Oreochromis niloticus: one gene and its partner. The protein of the gene in region 2 purifies or fractionates together with the protein of the main gene of each other region. This does not show direct contact. Links are inferred from orthologs where the notes say so. Each region holds a gene or a part of one and is shown on either strand. Other genes may lie near its edges.

Region 1 (10,409 bases), on a different chromosome or scaffold from region 2:
TTTGTTGTGTTGGGGGACATTTAAAACAAATAATGTAATACATATATTATGCCGAACACTTTTCCTAAAAAGGTAATGAGAAAGTAATTTGTTACATTACTTTCGTGTTTCTCAGTAAAATGACCTGAAACATACCGTTTCATAATTACCGTTTTCATCAATTCCCATCCCTATTTAAAACCCAAATGCTTTTGAGCTTCAAAGCATGAACTGATGGCAGCATATTCTTCAGGGGTTTTTTTGTTGTTGTTGCTTTGTTTTGTTTTTGTAGAGACCAGAATTCATAGTTCCATCGATTACATCAAGTCATCCAAGTCCTGAAGCAGCAAAGCAGCCCCAGAGCATCACATTACCACCACCATGTTTGGCTGTTGATATAATGTTCTTTTTATGAAATGCTGTATTAGTTCTACACCTAATGTAACAGAAACATTTTAGGCTCACATTTGTTTTTTGCCAAACACAAGACAAGTCTTTGGGTTTGTTTTGTTCAGCGGTGGCTTTTGCCAGGGAATTCTCCCATGGGTGCCATTTTTGCCCAGTCTCTTTCTTATCTCTGAATCATGAACTCTGACATTTATTGTAGGAAGCGAGGCCTAAAGTTGTTTAGATGTTCTGAGTTCTTTTGTGATCTCTTGGATGAGTTGTTGATGCGCTCTTGGGAGTAATTTTGGTAGGTCAGCCACTGCTGGGAATCTGCACTGCAGTTCTCTATATTTACGGATTATGACTCTTAACATGATTCACTGGAGTTCCAAAGCCTTAGAAATAGCTTTTTAACTCTTTCCATACTAACAGATGTCAATGTTTCTAATCTGTTTGAGTTTCTTTAACTCACAGCACGATGTGTTGCTTTTTGAGTTAATTTAGCCTACTTCACTTTGTTAGACAGGTTCTAGTTAAGTGATTTCCTGATTCAACATGTCTGGTAGGGTGTGTACTAGTGAAACTGAACGTACCCCCTGTGAATTAATCACAGTTCATTCATGATTTTGGATAGATCTTTTCCCATAATAAAAAACTCCATTTTGTTTTTACTTGGGTTATCTAACATTACAGTTAAAATCTAATATTAAAATTTGTTTGATCTGGCAGATTTCTAAACTTTGCTGCAGAATGACAACAGTAGGCACTCTCTTTCTACAGTAGTAACAATATCTGCAGGAGTCTCAAGAGAGGGGCATCATTTATTCTACTACATTTATTTTTGCCCTAAAACGCATTTATGATACTGTTGTGCATTTAGCTAGCAGTATATAAATTCATAATAAATTAAAATGTCAGATCTGTTGGCTCACTGGGACTTTTCTTTCTTTCTTTTTTTTTTTTTTTAAAAAACACCGAGCTGGGGATTCACTGATCTAATAACTGGATCAGATATCATTCCAGTCTTAACTCAAAAATCTGGAACGCACATCTGTGCCTGCTGTCTACAGAAGCATCTATAAAACTCAGCTGTATGTTTTGTACTGTGTTTACTTCTAGTGTGAAAAAGTACTTCAAAAAAAGTAATCTGCTGTGTTCATGGACTCAAATAAAATCCAAAGGGTTTAAGGATGACTTATTATTGATTATCTGAGACATTTTTGATCCTGAACTTAACAGATGTCATCATTAGTTAAAAACAACTTAAAAGTCCAAATTAAAGCTACTGATGGAGAATCAACCTCATATATTACCATAAGATGACAATGAATTAACAGAGTAATGATTAACGGTTTAGCACTCAGAATTTTTAAAGCAGCCATCTTGATTTTCTTGTTTTAATTTGAGACTAAATGACCTGCGAGAATCCTACAGCTGCATAAGATTTAAAAGGCTGGTGGGTTTTAAACTGCGGTTGCATCTCTCACAGAATCTAAACTGAACTTCCTGTTTTGGAACATAAATTCTTTTTCAGGATGTCACATTTTCCTCTTTCTGCGGCTCGCCTCATAGGACCATCTGCTTCATTGCCCCCTGCTCTTCCTCCCAGCCCTGAGCAGGCAGACAGTTGCATTCTTCATGCCGCATACTTTCTGCGATCTTATGATAACAAGATAAACCAAACAGTTTGCCCAGAGCAGCACCACCCACTCTTCTTTCTCACTTCCAGTCGAATCTCTCTCTCCCTCACACTGCACTCAAAACACCACACAGTCTTGTGAACCATCTCTACAGGGACATTTTATCACATTTTGTAAAAATAGTGAGGGGCCAACTGTGCTGTGTGTCCAGAGCATGGGTACAGCCCTGCTAGAGGATGTCCCTACCTTTTCCTCACTGTACCACGCAGGCTGTGCAGCACTGTTCCTGCTTCTCCGGCAGCGAGGAGTAATTCATCTGCCGGACGATCTCTGCAAACAGCTCATCCACCATCGTCTTGCTCTTGGCAGAAGTTTCGATAAAGGGGCAGCCCCACTCTTGAGCCAAAGCCCGTCCATCTGATCCGGCCACCTCACGCTCAGACTCCAGGTCGACTTTGTTACCAACCAGAATCAGCGGCACCTTCTCAAAGCGCTTCACTCGCACTATTTGGTCTCGCATTGGTCTGATGTCCTTAAAGATTGAGAAAAATAAGAGGTGTGAGACATTGAAATTTAAACAAAACAAAAAATGAATAATCAAGCAGATGCGTACTTTGGTTATTTCTCAATAGGCACAATGTCTTCATGATGCAAACATTTAATTACGATTTTTCTGGCTCAAAAATGGTCACATTGTTGACGTAAAGCTTTGTTTTACCCAGCAGACATTTGTGAATCTTCCTGATAGTTTTGGAAATATGCAAATATCTATTTTAGGGTTGCTAAACATTTCCTTTCGGGAAGGCCAAAACGTCTTTTCACATCCAGTTAAAGCACTGTTACTTTTATTTATTGGTACTTCAAAAGTAATTATCCATTAAATACCGAGTGCTAATATTGAAGGCTCTAAAATATCAGGACGTGGGATGACTATTTTCTTTAGTAGACCTGGTTCATAGTTATCTAAGCTTTCTTATGCACTGTTTGTTTCCTGTGTGGTGCCATCCTTCAACAAATGAGTGCTATATGGAGATATTGGGGATCCAAATGAGCCCTACCCTTCCCATTTTAATCTCGATAATGTGGCTTGTAGCATTCCCTGCATGAGAAGTATGAATCACAGCCTGATTAACCACATACGGTTGCAGTTTCCAGGTGTGTGTGGTGCATCTGGGGTACCTGGAAAGACTGCTGGTTGACCAGGCTGTAAACCAGGATGAAGCCCTGTCCGTTCTTGATGTACAGGTCTCTCATGGACGCGAACTGCTCCGTCCCCGCCGTGTCCAGGATCTCAAGCACGGAGGGCGACGAGTCCACCTCGATCTCCTTCCGATAGAAGTCCTCGATAGTCGGGTCATATTTCTCGATAAAAGTGCCGGTGACAAACTGCACGGTGAGCGCGGATTTCCCGACGCCGCCGCTGCCCAGCACGACAACTTTGTATTCTTTCATTGGGGCGGTCAAGGCGGGCTAACTTAGCAGCTATCGACTGCTATACTCGCTCCACAAACATTTATCAGGCCTTTACGAGAGCTAACGAGAGAAGCCACAAAAGTTAAACGATATACAATAACCCCCCTCATTCACATAAACACAGCTCAACCGCTCATACTTGGGTTTTTCTACGTTTTCCAGCTAGTCAGAGAGCAAAAGTTGATGTCCGGCAACTCCGGCGTTAGCTAGCCTTAAAGCTAGCTCGCGCCTGGCTGAAATCCCGCTGTGCCATCCTCGAGCTTTCAGCCTTTAGATCGATGTGATTCACCACAAGCGCTGGCTTTGATCAGTGAACTTGTTGTCTATCTACTGACAGCAGGTCACGGTGGTACACATTAGACCCCTATCCCTAAACCGCATGATAGTCCCCACAGCAGCCCGCCGGTGTCGCCGCAGCGTTGACTGCGTCCTTCCCTTAGCCTGGGCCTGGTTCTGGTTCCGGCCCAGCCCGGCGCCCTAGCAACCGGGCCCGTTATCGACGCAGACTCAGTGTTATAATCCCACCGTCCATTGGCTACAGTTTATTACTGGTCCGGTATCTATCTGACTGTATACAGGGTGGGTTCTGCTTCAGAAAGAAAGGCTTTTTTTCAACCATCTGATTTCCTGGAGCTAACAACCTGTTTCCGCTAACGAGAATCAGACTTCCGCTGCGACGGTTTTCATAATAAAAGCACAGAAAAGCGTTACAGAAAATTAGGATTTTTCGTTTCTAACATCCATCCATGTTTTCCGCTTGTCCAATTCTGGGTCGCGGGGACTGGATCATTTTCTTTCCTTGACATTTATTTATTTATTTAAATACAGTACTGTGTAAATGCCTTGAGCCACCCCTTATTCCTTTAAATTAGTTTTTTTTTTTTAAATGCGCCCCTAAATAGCTCTCCAGGCTTTTTGAAGAAAATCTTTTTTCTTTTTCACTCATTTTCAGTCCAGTCCTTGTACCTAAACATTTTCAGATGAAAATTTTTAAAAACTGTTTTACACTGACCTTTAAGTCATTCAAGCATAAAACAGTAACCTAACTCAAGTGATGAGCTAATGTTATGTCCACACATAATAAACAATTTGTTACCATTTCAATTTTGTTATCATTTAGTTGAATGCAGAATAATAATAATAATGATAATTGCTAACCTACATATTTAGCGATTTATCATACAGACCTATCATATTCACACAAGTTATCTAAATGAGCAGATTTTTGTCACAGGAAGTGGTTTCATTTACTTTCCCACAAAGTTACAAACTATCCTCCAGGGGATTAGCTTCACTGATGCATAGGTGTGTGTTAGTACACGATGTGAAAAACACCAAGACTGGACGTTGTGAGCACAGATTGGTTTAATGTGCAATCACAATGCTGCTGTTATATGAAGAAGAGTTTGTTTAAAGAAACAGCCACAAAATGAATCAGCTGCAGGTCCATCTTGACCATTGCTCCTTGTTACTGAGGATGTCACACAGTCTAAATTCAGACGTTGCAGTCTTACATCAGCAGCATAGGAAAGCTGGTCATCCTCACTTCCTCTGAGAGCAGTTTCGATTCCTGTTTTTATATTTATATTAGGGCGACATTCTCTGAATAGCTTTAAGTTTTATTATAGTGCTTTTTACTGCAATAGATTAAGTTAGTGGTCTGCTAATTCAGATTAATTCTGCATACTGAAGACAGTGACTCTCTACAATGCAGTTAATTTCAAAACTGCATCATTCATCACACTTTGCACTCTGTTATCTAAGAAACTTTAATTTCATCTGGTTTTTGCCATACTGTCTTTAGTAAGCCACTTTGCATTTCTTATTGTAATGCATAGTTATATTACCTTATTATATTTGAGTTCATTTATTTTTTAGATAATTAAGATAATTGTTTGATCCTGTTTTATTTAATTTTATTGAGCTATAGACTATTTTATTGATTTAAACTATATGTTGTTGGGGAGATCATAAGGTATACCTTTAAACTCCTCAATCAACACAAATATTTAATCAGCCAATAACATGGCAGCAACTCAGTGTATTGACATGTTGAGGTTCAAACTGAGCATCTAAATAGGGAAGAATTGTGATTTAAGGGACTTTGAAAATGGCATGAATGGGCCGGTCTGAGTATTTCAGAAACTGTGGATCTACTGGGATTTTCCCACACAATCACAGGGTTTACAGAGCATGGTTTTCTGAGGGAAAATACCTTGTCGATACCTGAGGTCAGAGGAGAATGGCGAGACTACTTCAAGCTGATAAGAGTCAACAGTAATTCGAATAACCACAAGTTACAACCAAGGAAGAAGAGCATCTATGAACCCAGATGGGCTACAGCAGCAGAAGTCCACATCAGGTGCCAGTATTGTCAGCTAAGAACAGGAAACTGAGGCCAGGATTTGAGGCTACAACATTCCTGAGGAATGTTTCCAGTTCCCAGTACTGGCAAGGTGTACCTAACAAAATGTCCAGTGTGTCTATACCCTATGCTTGAATAAATTTAACCCCATAATATTTTCATCTCCATCCCAATGACCTGATTTCTCTTTTGTGAAAGGTTAACAGTTCTTTCCTGGGTGCCAAAACACTTTATATACAGATAACCCCGTGAGATGCATGTGTGTTATTGTAGTCTTAATTATTAACAGTTGTTGCATAAAGGGGTCCTTTGAGGCTATATATGCACATTTAGGGGCATTACCAGATGTTCAGGGTGTAAGTTGTGGTTGATATACTTCTTTTGCTGTATGTGTATGTCTGCAATGCAGGAGACAAAAAGAAAAAACACACAAGAGGATCACAATGAAGTGTTTTATTTAGGTCAAACAGAAATTGCAGAACTCATCATAGGCACAGTAACTTACTCATAATTAGCTATACACTGCAAAATAAATTGGCATGTAGCACAGCAGCACATACAAGCACCACAAGCAGAAAACAGAGTGAAACAAAGAAACAGCAGTCACGTTCAAGTCTGCCCAAGAGTGTCAGAGTTTTTTATGGCTTAGTCCTGAACAGTCTTTGGCCCTCATCATCTTTCACGGGGTGTCGTTCAGTCGGCGATTGTACCCAATTTAAAAAATAAGTTGTGGACTCAACAGAGGATGTAATTAAATTGATATGATTGGCACACGCTCAGTTCACGTGGCGGTTTTAGTCAGTGAGATGTAGAACCTAAAAGTCCAGTTTGCACATTAAAGGCACAATCACAACTAAAATGAATCGTAACAATACAGTGATTTAAAATCCACAGCATGTACTTAAACTGGGACAGCAATGATGAGGGGAGCTGGTGAGTCAGTAGAGAAGCTTTGGTGAGTTGTGGGTACACGTCGTTCAGAGACCCGTCCCTGCTCACAAACTCTTTGAAGTCAATATTCAACAGTCAGAGGGCTGTGAACCGATTCTCCAGGATGACTCAGTCAGTCCAACACTAGGAGAAGTGCCATGGCAACAAAATCGCTGGCTTTGGGGGCAAATAAAGAGCATCACATGTTCAAATCAGCAGAACCAGAGTCATGTGAGGATGCTGCTGCTGCTGGGAGAGGAAAATATTGGAAAAGCCGTTTGTTTGCAATTTAGTCTAAAATCCTGAGGAGAATTCAGATTTATTGTTGTTTTGGTTAATGACAAGAAACAGGAGAGTTTAAAAAAAAATTACAAAATGACAGAGATGAAGGAGAATTTAAATCTCTGTTCCTCTGTGGTCAGATTTAATATCGGCTCCTATTTTGTTTTTCAGCCTGCAGATGGAGCTACTCTGTGCTTTATTTCGGTGCTTTACTGGAGAGAGGAATGTGTCTGCATGTCATCTGCTCAGATTAGGTTCTTACATATGATCCACCTCTCCTGTTTGATGTCAGGGTCGCATATTATTAAACCACAGAGGATCAATCAACTGAACTGAACTGAAAAAAAAGAGCTTTTTAAAGCAAATCATTTGTAGTTTACAGCTAGGCAGTGCCATGCTTAGCAAAGAACAGGGCTCTAGCAACAAACAAAAGGGCAGATGTAAGAAAACAATAGACATATCGTTAACAATATATTGATTAGATTTTTTTTAATTGACTCTTTTATCTGTATTTATTCAAAATAAATTTTGAGTATTCTGACATAGTTATGTACATAAGTGCAAACAAGGTGAACATCACACATTCGTATACACCTCAGTGAGGATCGACATCACCCAGCACAGCTGGGCAGTAAGAGACCTCGAGACCACCTTCTTGGCCAAAAGTTGAGCCAGATCTCTCAGTCTGCAGGAGGCAAGCGGCAAAAACTGCTCGCCTCCACAGAAAAAGATCTTCCAGTTAGTCCAAGGGCCTCTTTACCTCCCTGACAGATGTTTGCTCTAAAAGCCAGAGTTCATTCCTATTTCTCAAAAACACCATGTACAAGAAGAAAAAAACCTAAATATAAAATGAACGTCAAATAAACAAAACAAAATAAACGCCTGACCTCCCCTAAGGACCTTTGGATATTACAAGGATTTAAGTTGTTTCAATCACGTTGCAACAAGACAAACTAATAATTAGACATTCCCTTTTCGGATAAGTTAGTGCTGTATGTCATCTCAATTATTGTGGAAAAAAAATCACTATTAGGATAATAAAAAGGTAGCCATGTTGTCATTTTGTTGCCATAGCAACAGCAACTATTACCATTAACAATGACTCCATCATTGTGTACAAACGATTTTCATATCATAATGTTTTTCATATTGGTCTACACAAACTATTAACTACATATAAATGATTTTTTTGTTATCATTATTGTTATTATTATTTTCATGCCGAGTTTTTTTTATGTCAGAAAAAAAAATCTTACATTTAATACATTTTCATACACAGCTGTCACATATGATCAAGGATTAAGGCCCTTTGTTTGTATTCTCAGGACTGAGTTAACTGTGTCCACATGCTGAAGGATCTGATCACAGGACAGCGAAGATCAGAGCTCTGCACACGTTGAACAGTTATGATTCAGGACCGTGTGGAAAAAAAAATTACAACCAGGCCCAAAGTTAATCAAGTACAAGAGAATGAATGAGGGAACAAAATTAAGAGGTAAAAATGTTTGTTTTTTTTTCTCATGGTGCTCCACAATCCTCAAATTAATACACTCTTGAGCCTTAATAGATACATTTAAATGTATTTAAAAACCTCAAATGCCCTCGAGAGGCACAGTTTATTAATCAAGTATTCTGTTTTTCCAGCTGGACGGTTGTCAGTGAAGGCATACTGATGTTAGGGGTAGGATCACTTAAGGAGGGGATTCTCTTGGCTGGACGAAGCTAGTCTTTAGAAAAAGGGACCTGTCTGGACATTCTGATCATCAGGTTCATAGAGACAGCTATGAGCCTACATACTGTTTGATCCACCATGCAGATAGAAAGTCAGCTATACTTTAAAAATACTTTATTCAAGTATTTTGGGAGATACACTTATTCACAAGATTTTATATCACTCTTATGTCTGTATAGTAAATATGAAGCTTAAACCAGCTGTATGGGGCACTAGCCTGTTTCCATACAAAGTGGAGCTACACAGATAAATTATCTGGTATTAGGTTATTACAAATAAGGTGTCCTCTAAAAGTATGTAAACTGCAGATTGAAATAGATATTTTAAACCTCTGTTTTAGCATTTTAGGATGAAAGCATTGCATGAGATAAAATACAGACTGGCTTTAGCTTTTATTATGTGCTATTTAATACACAAACAGCACATAAATAGATAGTTATGCATCTTGATATTTGTAGACCAGTTCAGTAGCGTTTACTGTAGGCTAACTTTTCGCTGTTCAGCAAACATGCTTTCATACGGCTTCTGATGTAGGGATTTGTTCTCTGCTCGGTCTGTTTGACCTCAGTGCAGCCTCTGATACTGTCGACCATGATACTTTCCTTAGTAGAGCTATGCTTTCCATTTGACTGACTTTCTTCTTATTTATCTGCAAGGCTCAGATAAACGCAAGGCTCAATCCTGGGCCAATTATTATTTTCTTTCTGCTTTCTTACTGTAGCTGGCATCATTCAGGGTTTTACAGAAGTTTCTTGTTGTTTCTATGCAGATGACATTTACTTATACGTCTATAATTTTCTATTATATTTTATCGTGATTTTTCCCAGTTTTTATTTATTTTAGACTATTTTTTTGCCAAGCACTTTATAACTTATTTTCTGTGACAAGTGCTTTTATAAATAAACTTTACTTACTTACTTATATTCTATATAAGAGCTAAAGCCACCTACTGTTTTGTCTCATTGTTGTGCTTTAATATCAACTTCAGATGCATAAATTATCAATAATATCTGTTAACGTACTTATAGAGGGCACTCTATTCTTGTTTAAGTTGGCTTAAGTTATTACAAGCATTACACAGTTTATCCAAAAGCTAACTTTTAGTTATCTAAAAGGTGTAAACACCTTCCATACAAGATCACACATTTAATCTTTAAAATGGACATAAACTCCGTAGTTTTGTAGATGTTTTCCTCCTGTAGTTATTTCTTCATGAACAGTTTACAATCCATCTGGGTTATATTATTGGTTGCCTGGTAACCTCACTGTTCTCAAGCAGTCACAATGTGTAACGTGGTTGTTTTTGCACAACTGTTTATTAAGGTGTGCTGGCCTTTTCTCTGTGTTAACTAGCAGCTCTTTCCAGCTTAGTATTAACACAGAAACATAAGAGCATCTTCTGTCTTTAAAAAAAGTAAGCAGATATGTGTACTTTTTCTTAAACTGCCACAAATACGCCACCTCTCTTATTTGGGGCATGCAGGTGGTAAGGAGGAAAAAGCTTTTACACGCCCAAAATGAGGGTTAATCCCAGGATTATACCTGGTGCTGCACTTGCAGCTCTGGCTGGGTGGGTTTTCTGCACAGTTATGTCTCCACAAAGCCTTTCCACACCAAAAGT
Region 2 (10,226 bases):
AGTTAAGTGTCAGTCTGCCAAACTGTCATCTAGAATTAAAATATTTGTAAACATTCAGTTCACACGTTTTCCGTGGAAAACGATGACGAATGCTAATTCTCATTCTTGCTGTTTCACGCTTGGGTGCGAGCCTCTGCAGTGTCAGCTGGAGGCTGTTGATTTATCCCTCTAAATCCCTAACCTCACTTATGGCTGTGAGCTCTGGGTAGTGACCAAAAGAATGAGATCATCGATGCAAGTGGTGGTTTTCTCTGAAAACTGGCTGAACTTTCCTTTGGTGATGGGGTGAGAAGTTCAGTCAACTGGGAGGGAGTCAGAGCAGAGATGCTGTTGCTATATGGCATAAGGAGCAAGCTGATGTGGTTTGAGCATCTGATTAAGATTCCTTCTTGGTGCCTCCTCGGTAAGGCGTTCTGGGCATGTCCTAACAGGAGGAGGCAGAGATTATGTCTCTTGGCTGGCCTGGGCACACCTCCTCGGCGTGTAATAAGCTGGATGAGGTGGCTGGGGAGAGGGAGGTCTGGGCTCTTCTGCTTGGGCTGCTGCCTCTGAGACCTGGCCCTGGATAAGCAGCAGATGATCAGGCTCAAACTTCTCCATGAATGAATTTCCATAATTGGGACTGAAAGGGCTACCCAGTGAGACTTCCTGTTTCTGTAAGGGAGAGTTCTTACTAAACTGTTTCTGCTAATTTAATGAGGAATTCTGTGGATGGAATTCCGTAGATTACAGTGGAAATCTGTAATATTCAGTGGACTCATGACCTCATCTAACAGTACTACTGGAGCACCTTTATCAACATTAGCAAATGACAAATCATCATTGATAGATCTTTTAGAGCCTTTCATGCAGCAAGAAGTTCAGAAAGAATATTTTGTTGCTCTGGGGAAAAACAAAAAGGACCTAACTTCTTCAACTAAACAACAAAGTTGGTACAGAGTCATTAGATCCTGGTGCAAATAAAGAATTTCCTAGATTTGAATTTCTTAATTGTAATCCACTAATTGTTTGTTCCTCACTTTGGTAAATGGTTTGTACAGAGGGAGTGGTGTCCAGAGTCTTTACATTTACACATTTATTTTATTTTTTTATATTTTATGTTTTTTCAAGATGGTTTAAAAAGAAGGGAAAAAAGACAATTCCTGATTACTTAACTGTCTGTTTGGATGAGTTGATTTATGCTGGATGTCCTCAAGTCCTCTTTCCGTGCCCATCTGTAGCTCCTGCTGCTCTGTTGTGGACCTTTTTTGTAGATGACTTTTTTTGGTGCAAACAGTTCAGCTGCTCGGTGATGCTAAAAAGTGGATCACTACTTCAGTGGAGAGCCCGTCTGATGACTGGTTGCCAACCTTTTCGTGCTCTCTGTGCATCCTTTCCATCCACTGGGATCGCCAGTTTGATGTTCCATGCGTATAATCCAGAATCTCCTGTAGACGCTTCTTGAGCTTTATCACAGAAAGTTCTTCTTTATAGGAACTGTTGTAATCTTTAAGTTGCTATGACCCACCTAACACTTTGAAGGACACTGACAGACAGTCACATCACAAATCTCTTTAATATATGGTAGCAGAAACGAACACATTTAAGCCTGCGGCTTCAGTTTCTACGACCTTTGGCTGTGACTCTTTTTAAAGCACCACCTCAACATATGGTGGGCGCAGGTGACATCAATAATCAACCTATCAACAACGACAAGCACAATGACTGAGGATTTAACTTTCAAGTTTGTTTGTTTTTTAATACCCTTTATAGAATAAATGGTAACAAATGAAGGAAAGTTTGTTTGTGTAGGAGACTTTGAATAACAAGGCAGTTCAGAGTGCTTCTTGTTATACCGTCATGCTTTATTTATTTTGTAACAAAGACCATAAACTCTGTGTTTTACTACTGTGTGCTGAAAGCAGCAAACATGCAATGAAAGACGGTGCTGCTGTTTTCAGTTTAACTCCTGTGTGGTTTTCTGCAGGCGTACTGTGTCACTGAGCCCGGGGCAGGATCTGATGTGGCCGGCATCAAAACACGAGCTGTGAAAATGGGCGACGAGTATGTTGTTAATGGGCAGAAGATGTGGATCACCAACGGAGGGAAAGCTAACTGGTGTGTGCTCACAGTCGCTGCTGATGTATTGCATTCGTTAAAGTTGTAGTGATCAGTTTTAAAGGGCATTCATCCTCAAGGCCACTCTGAATGCTGAAATTTGTGCTGCTCTTCTCTCTTTTCTCTCTGATTACTACAGCAACTTCTGTCTGGTAATTTAGTCTCTAATACTTTTAGGTACTTCCTGCTTGCTCGCACTAACTCAGATCCCAAATGTCCAGCCAGCAAGGCTTTTACTGGCTTCATTGTGGATGCAGACACTCCAGGAGTTCAAATAGGAAGGAAGGTAAGCTGAAAAAGAGTCTTTCAAAACATTAATCACATTCTTCAGTGAGCAAATCATATTTTAAATGTTGCAGAAGTTTGATGCTCTGTTCTATAAACATTAGACACATAATGTCAGATAATTACTTTACTGAGTAGTGCAAATGATAGCATTGTTTGTTAAAAATTATATGTAATAAAAGGAGGAAAAATGTTCAGTTTGTAAATGCATCCCATTTAAAAATTTTATTTTGTTTTTGTGCCTGTAGGAAATGAACATGGGCCAGAGGTGTTCTGACACGAGGGGCATTACCTTTGAGGATGTGAGAATACCGAAGGAGAATGTCCTGATCGGAGAGGGATCTGGATTCAAAATTGCCATGGGTGCCTTTGACAACACCAGGCCACCAGTAAGTTTTCCAGCTGTGACAAAACCTAACATCTGTAACGACTGTGCATAGCTTCATCTTTACAAGTAGATTTGCAATCCAAAGATGGTGTTGTGTACAGAAGTAAAGACGTGATTCATCTTTTGGCATCAAATTATATCTGCAAATAAAAGGATTAGAAATTGCAGGGCAAAAAACTGAAGTTATTGGTCTTTAAAGGTGTTAAGCAGTGGATTTTTTTTTTTTTTCCTCTCATTTGAATCTCCCAATTTAACTTGCTAGAGTTTAAGGGATATATATTTGTGCTACTGGAGAATTAACACTTACAGTTAAGGAGAATATCTTATTTATTATTTTCACTAATATTGATCAAAGTTGTCTCTGAGCTGGTAGTTTGAGTGTGACTCAGCAGTACAAAGATGCACTAGTGTGGGCTCTTAAATTTTTTTTTTTCCACTCACTCGCATGCTAAAGGCTCGTCACACGAGACTAATTCAAAGGTGTGCTTAAAAAATATGAACCATGATTGAAATGGAGATGATTGGGTGCCAGTTTGGCTCAGTGGTTGACCATGTGACTGCATGCCGCATGGCCAGAAGAGCAGTGGTCCGGGCCTTGAGGCGACTTCTGTTGTGATTTGGCACTATATAAATAAAATTGAATTGAATTGAATTGAAGTCTGACCTCCTGCCCTTTGCGGCCTGTTTTCCCCTCTCTCCCTGCTTTCCTGTCAGTCCACTGTCTCTATCCTATATAGGCAAAAGCCAAAAAAACCCTGGCTTTGTTTCACAAACAGTTTATGAGCTGCTTCTGTCACAACAGGAACTTTGAAATGTAGTGAAACAGCACCAGGAAACTAAACAAGAACTACAGTGGATCAAACATTACCAGATTTAAGGACAAAAGTTTAAACTTGTAGCTGAAGATTTGTCTGAGCGTGGTTGTTTATGTTTTTGCTGCAATGCAGGTGGCAGCAGGAGCTACCGGCCTGGCACAGAGGGCACTCGACGAAGCCACCAGTTACGCTCTGGAGAGGAAGACCTTTGGCAAAGTTATTGCTGAGGTGTGTTCAAGCATTTTGTTTGTCCTTTAAATCTGGGTATCCTTAGTTGGACTGCTTTTGTTTTAAACTCAGATGAAGAAAAGATCAACGTGCTTCTGTTTCCTGTTTCGCAGCACCAAGCTGTGTCCTTCCTGCTGGCTGAGATGGTGATGAAAGTAGAGCTGGCCAGGATGGCGTACCAGCGTGCTGCCTGGGAGGTGGACCAAGGCCGCAGAAACACCTACTACGCTTCCATCGCCAAGGCCTTTGCAGGGGACATCGCCAATCAGGTGGCCTCTGATGCTGTTCAGGTATTTGGAGGCAACGGCTTCAATAGCGAGTACCCTGTAGAGAAGCTCATGAGGGATGCAAAGATCTACCAGGTGGGTGACAATAATGTGCAACTATGCACTGCCTGCACCATCTCTGCTTCATCTTCTTTAATTAATCTGATTTTTTTTTTTTTTGTAGATCTACGAGGGCACAGCTCAGATCCAAAGGCTCATTATTGCCCGAGAACACCTGGGAAGAGCCAAGAAATGAAGTCTGCTCATCCTCATTTAAACTTACTTTTCATGTTTGGCATACATAATGTACTTGTTTCTGTTCCTTTTGGTCACTTGAACTCAGGATAACGATCAAAATTTTGCCTTAATGTCACTTCATCCTACTGCGGTTTTCAAGACTGATCCAGATCAACAAGACCCATCAGCCTCCTTTGGCCTCAGAATTCACGATGCCACAAGTTACACCAATCCATCAAGTCACAGAATATGACACCGCTATCTCCTGTTCACAGAACAGTTTCTGTTAATGATGGGGGCTGGGGCATACTGTGTAGCATTAATACGGTGTGATCTGCCAATTGCCTGTTATGCTGTGAAGCTTCTGCTGATGAACCTGAACTGTTGGGACTAAAGTTAGAAAAAAGGGACTAGGATTGGACTAACATTCAGCCTTACACTGTTGCTGCAGTACTTTAACAGTGTGATTGGTGTTTGATCACATTCACTCTTCTTTGCATCAAAAGTTTGATAAATGGTCATTAATTTCTTCATGCCTTACTCCAAGCCTTTTCTCTCAGTTCTGGCTCTCATACTGATCTTTGTTTGTTTGTGTTTTGCTTTTGTTTTTGTTTTTTTAAAACAAAAGGTTTTAAATGTAGAAATGAATTTCTTACCAGAATGTGTAAACATACTGATGTTTGTAAATTTGCATGCTGTCTGAAAACAGTTTGATTTTACATTTAGCTGCTGTCTCTTCTACATTTAAAATGAATATCCAATGTTTAAAGCGTCAGCTTTACGTCTTACCTGTGCAGACAAGGCACATGTGGATGAGATGAAGATAGACCATTGTCACATCATGGAGAATTGTGTCCATAAATTGTCACTGAATAAATTATTTCATTCAGTCTAAACATCTTTTTTTTCTTCTTCTCCTTTCTCCCATTTGCTAAATCAACAAGCAGTTTGAGTCTTTTCTAAATTTCATTTCTCCTGAGTTCTCCACATGCTGAGATGAAGCTCATTACCTAATGACAGAGCATTCACAAGCATGTCTTTTTTAATTTTCTTTTTATTGCAAGCTTCACTTGTTAGGAATCTGTCAAATATTCATTATACTTAAGGACTTTTAAAACAACTTCTTTAACGTTAAAAAGTCAAAGTCTGCTTCATTTTCAGTTCTGTAATTGAAGTAATATGTGTAGATAACAGCAATATAGTCTTCAAGACAACAGCAGCACTAATGTCCTTTATGTTAAGGCTAGGTGTAAGACACATTGCTCATGTATATGTGTGTGGGTTGGTTAGAATCCAGTCTTCTGGGGGGGCAGAGTGGGAAGTGAGTAGAGGAAGGAAGGAGTTCAATATTTTGACAGCCTGGTGGATGAAGCTGTGTCTCAGTCTGATAGGGGAAGTCACCACAATGCTGACTGCTAGGCAGGTGTTACAGTTGTCCAGGAGGGAGGGCAATGAAGCAACCAGTGGTCTTTTCTGCTGCATTTACTATGTGATTCAGGTGGTGGAGTTTCTAAACCACACAGTGATGTAGGTGGTCACAGTGTTTTCAGTGGTGCCTTGCTTGAAGTTGCACATGATGGTTATAGAAAAATAATTGCAGTGGGAAATTTTCCCCCAACACTGAAAAATAAATGACTTGAGTAAGATACCTGAACATTTGTGCTTAAATATATTTGAGTAACAAATATCACTTCAAATATGAGAATTTAGGCTGCGGTTCTCCCTCCAAACCAATAGGTGGCAATAACGCGCTCCAAACCAACAGCCCGAATTGTTGTTGAAGAGGAAGAAGGAAAACGCCGGATCATGTCAGAATGGTAACCAGCGACCTGTTTCTAGTGTGATAAGGAGTGTAGTTTAGGATAACATTACAATAAAAGATTATTTAAATGTGCTCTTTCCTCTAGTCTATCCAAACTTAGTCTCACACAATCGAGCTAATCAGTGAAAGCAGCTAGCAGAGTGGCTAAGATGTTAGCATGTAGCAGCCTGTCAACAAGCCGTGAATCATGTTAACAGTCAGCCATTTATCTGCTAAACAGGGGTTAACTCAGCGCTAGATTATGAAGAGGAAGAAGTCAAGTTAGATTTTTTCAGGTTATTGAGTTTTAGGGCTGTCTGACGTGTTGTTGGTGTGTGTTGAATTTCAGGGGACCCAGGTGAAAGATGTGATCATAAAGCCCGACGCTCCCAGCACGCTGCTGCTGGAGAAACACGCAGACTACATCGCTGCATACGGCTCCAAAAAGGACGACTATGTGAGTACATGCCTCCTCAGAGCCTTGATATCTGTGTTTCTACTCTGGGCTTGGCCACTTGCAAGAAAAGGGTGATCGTTGTCATCCCGCCACTCCAGTGATGACAGTGATCCTACCCAAAGGGAATGAGGTGAATGGGATGAGAAAGTGTGGGACTCAAATTCTAAGGGGTCGCTGAATGGGTGGTCTTCAAAACCCTCCAGATAACAATCCAGTTGAGCTTCTGTGGTAGGCTTTGGAGTTTAGAGGGGCAATCACTAAAAAGCAGCCAACGTTTTTGAACTAACGCTGCCGACCTTTGGTGGTCTGTCAGGAGTACACGCTGTCTGAGTACTTGAGGATGAGCGGCATCTATTGGGGGCTGACTGTGATGGACCTGATGGGCCAGCTACCCAGAATGAACCAGCAGGAGATCATAGACTTCATCAAAGCCTGTCAGCACGAGTGTGGAGGCATCAGCGCCAGCATTGGACATGACCCCCACCTGCTCTACACTCTCAGTGCCGTCCAGGTAGCAGATTACGCTCTTATTCTCTACAGCTTTATGGCTTTAATTCTAGATGATACACTGAACTTTTAAATATTTATATGTGCTTTAATATTTCTGAATTGGCCCCTCTTTAGCAAAATTTTATAGCAGTTCTAGTGTCCTCTAGATGTTTATTTATTTTTCTGCATAGTGCTGCTTATATTTAGCTCAAATAATCATCTCAAATTGTGTGCCATAGTGTCTGGTTTTTGAATGACCTTGAATGGTCTGCACATGGTGTATTTTATGTTCTCTTGTTTATTAGTATTTTGTGAACTCTCTTCCTCAGATCTTGTGCTTGTATGACAGCATAGATGCGATTGATGTGGACAAAGTTGTGGAATATGTCAAAGGGCTGCAGCAGGAAGATGGCTCTTTTGCGGGGGACAAGTGGGGTGAGTGAGTTTTACTCTCACATCCCACAATTGACATAATCAGCCCACACTTTTCATGTCTTTTATCTTTCAAATATGAAACTAGTTACAGCTAGTTTGAAGCTATTCACGTGATCTTGACTGCTACAGTCTTGACAAACAGATTTAAATCTGTCATGATAGATCGGTTAAAAAAAAAAAATTATAAATTGTATTACTGAATTATAAAATCTTTATAAAATCTTTGCATGCAACTTTCACTTAAGGCTTGCAGCAAAAATGCAATAAAGTACCGTTTTCATGTTAAAATAGTGTAACTTGTGTATCTTTTTGTCTTTGCAGGAGAAATAGACACGCGGTTTTCCTTCTGTGCAGTTGCTACACTCGCATTACTGGTACGTATGTTAGTCTTTCCATGTATATTATTATTAACATGATTTATTATTTAACTTAAAACTTTTTTTAGTTGAACCTGTTTTAGAAAGTCCATTACTCGGCCGTGTTATGTGGGAGCATCAGACTTCATTTGTGTCGATAAAATGAGGCTAAATAAATAATAAAGTTACACAATATCACAAAGTTCATCAGTTGACTCAACAGCTCAGCTCTTTCATTCTTAAGTCTTAACAAGCATGTTTTAATAAACTGTGTTACTTTCAGCTCATTATAATTCATTTTAAGATGATGGTTTTTGTTTCCCAGGGCAAGATGGATACGATCAATGTTGACAAAGCCGTAGAGTTTGTTTTGTCATGTATGAACTTTGATGGAGGCTTTGGATGCAGACCTGGTTCTGAGTCTCATGCTGGTCAGGTGAGTTCACCGATATACTGATATTTACTCCCACAGAAAAGTTTGGAGACTCTCGGAAGTGTTTTGTTTCTATTTGATAGAAAATAGAATTGAGCCAAATTGCAATTATTTGTTAATAGATTCAATAATCATAACAATTTCATTTTTTTAATGAATTGTTGTCAGACAGTTAGTAAATCAATCTTTTTGAACAAAAGCAGGAAAACTCTTTTCAGTTTCAACCTAAAATAAAATAAAGGAATGATATGTTAAGTTGACACTTCCTGCCTGATTTGATCCTGCACACCAGTCTTGTTGAATGAAGCTGACTTGTAGAAGAGGCCAAGACAACTGCAGTGGATGGATGACGTTTTCAACCTGGATATGGCAAATTTGGCACTTTAGGATCAGTTGGTATTAAAATCAATTTCCGGCGTTTTCCTTCCTGTCTGTCAGATTTACTGCTGCACTGGCTTCCTGTCGCTCACTGGCCAGTTACACCAGTTGAACGCTGACCTGCTGGGGTGGTGGCTGTGTGAGAGACAGCTGCCGTCTGGAGGCCTGAATGGTCGACCTGAGAAGGTTTGTGCCAAACACTGTGAAGTATTGAGTTATTTAATGAAAGTATCTGGGTTTTATGGTTTGAAATTCAGACTCTTTTGCAGTTGAAGAGTTTGAGCTGTAGAAGCAATAATGTAGATGGAACAAGCTGATGATTTATTGGATTGGATTACCTGGTAATAAATACAGTTTTTAAGCTTAAATAAAATATTATTGAGTCTGAAAGGAGGAGATCAGCTTCCACCAAAGGGTGGCTGGGTTCTTCCTCTTCTTTGGGCCTCAAAGTAGAGCCACTCCTCCTCCACATCGAAAGGAGGCAGTTGAGGTTGTCAGACCTCAACTAGTATCTGACTAAGACTGACTGGGCTGACTGACTGGACGCCTCCTAGGTGAGGTGTTTCAGACATATCTTACTAAGAAAAGTGGAACTAAAGGAGGTGGAGTGGGGAGAGGGAAGTCTCAGTGTCTCTGCTAAGACTGCTGCCTCCATATTCTGAAATGGGATATGGCAGAAAATATGAGCAACAGCTGTGGTTTACTTTCGGTATCATTCAGCTTCCAGATGTGTGCTACTCGTGGTGGGTTTTGGCCTCGCTGAAAATCATCGGCAGGATCCGCTGGATTGACAAAGACAAGCTGCGAAAGTTTATTTTGGCCTGTCAAGACGAGGAGACGGGAGGTTTTGCTGATAGACCAGGAGATATGGTGAGAAGAATTTTAAGAATCTAAATTTGAATATTTATGTTTTGGACTGAAAAAAAAAGTCTTTGCATGTGAGGTAAAGCAGGCAGTTTCAAAGACACTGAGTGCGAAGCGTTTTGGTCCACTTCTGTGGCCCACTTTTGTAGTATTTTCTTTATAATCAGTCTTATTGATTCTTGTTAATCCTCCTTTGCAGGTGGATCCTTTCCACACCCTGTTCGGGGTTGCAGGTCTCTCCCTGCTTGGAGACGAACAGATCAAACCGGTGAATCCAGTGCTGTGCATGCCCGAGGACGTCCTTCAGCGTATTGGCCTGCAGCCTGACCTCCTCAGCTAACCCTCTGATGCATCACACAGACACTTTTTCCACCCGCACAAACAGAGGCTCATGGCACGGCTGGATTTCAGGTGCACAGAGTCTCACAGTTTGGACATGACTTCCTCTGAACCTCTCTGTTTTAATCTCCTGCTACTCATCGAGTCGGTGTTCTCGTGTCACTGCAACGAAAGGAGGGGGCTTAAAAAGATGCTTTGAAGTGTCATCATCTTTGCAGAAGGCTGGAAATCATGCAAAAACATTCAACAACATGCAACAACAACTTCTCAACTTACTCACTATGTCAGTTTGAGGGGGAAAATGTGAAAGTTTGCTCACAGTTAAAATGTTTCATCTTCCTGATGTTATCACCTTCCA

What was found.
Region 1: the proteins of rabggtb (region 2) and rap2c purify together in Homo sapiens (co-immunoprecipitation; 3 studies listed by BioGRID and IntAct, counting the BioPlex papers as one, with this or other methods). This does not show direct contact. The link is inferred for Oreochromis niloticus from reciprocal best matches to the Homo sapiens genes RABGGTB and RAP2C.

The regions. Positions count from the first base shown.
Region 1 is NC_031966.2:20,430,182-20,440,590, forward strand, and holds the start of rap2c (ras-related protein Rap-2c), read right to left. Parts: upstream 4,155-10,409; 5' UTR 3,459-4,154; coding exon 3,186-3,458; intron 2,539-3,185; coding exon 2,260-2,538; 3' UTR 2,253-2,259; intron 1-2,252. UniProt on the Homo sapiens protein: Small GTP-binding protein which cycles between a GDP-bound inactive and a GTP-bound active form. May play a role in cytoskeletal rearrangements and regulate cell spreading through activation of the effector TNIK.
Region 2 is NC_031982.2:25,765,104-25,775,329, reverse strand, and holds the start of rabggtb (geranylgeranyl transferase type-2 subunit beta), read left to right. Parts: upstream 1-6,021; 5' UTR 6,022-6,130; coding exon 6,131-6,133; intron 6,134-6,466; coding exon 6,467-6,574; intron 6,575-6,887; coding exon 6,888-7,085; intron 7,086-7,392; coding exon 7,393-7,498; intron 7,499-7,819; coding exon 7,820-7,872; intron 7,873-8,179; coding exon 8,180-8,290; intron 8,291-8,725; coding exon 8,726-8,851; intron 8,852-9,385; coding exon 9,386-9,535; intron 9,536-9,728; coding exon 9,729-9,869; 3' UTR 9,870-10,226. Other genes in the region: acadm (medium-chain specific acyl-CoA dehydrogenase, mitochondrial), read left to right, coding at 1,967-2,097, 2,275-2,383, 2,631-2,771, 3,718-3,813, 3,927-4,175, 4,264-4,335. UniProt on the Homo sapiens protein: Catalyzes the transfer of a geranylgeranyl moiety from geranylgeranyl diphosphate to both cysteines of Rab proteins with the C-terminal sequence -XXCC, -XCXC and -CCXX, such as RAB1A, RAB3A, RAB5A and RAB7A.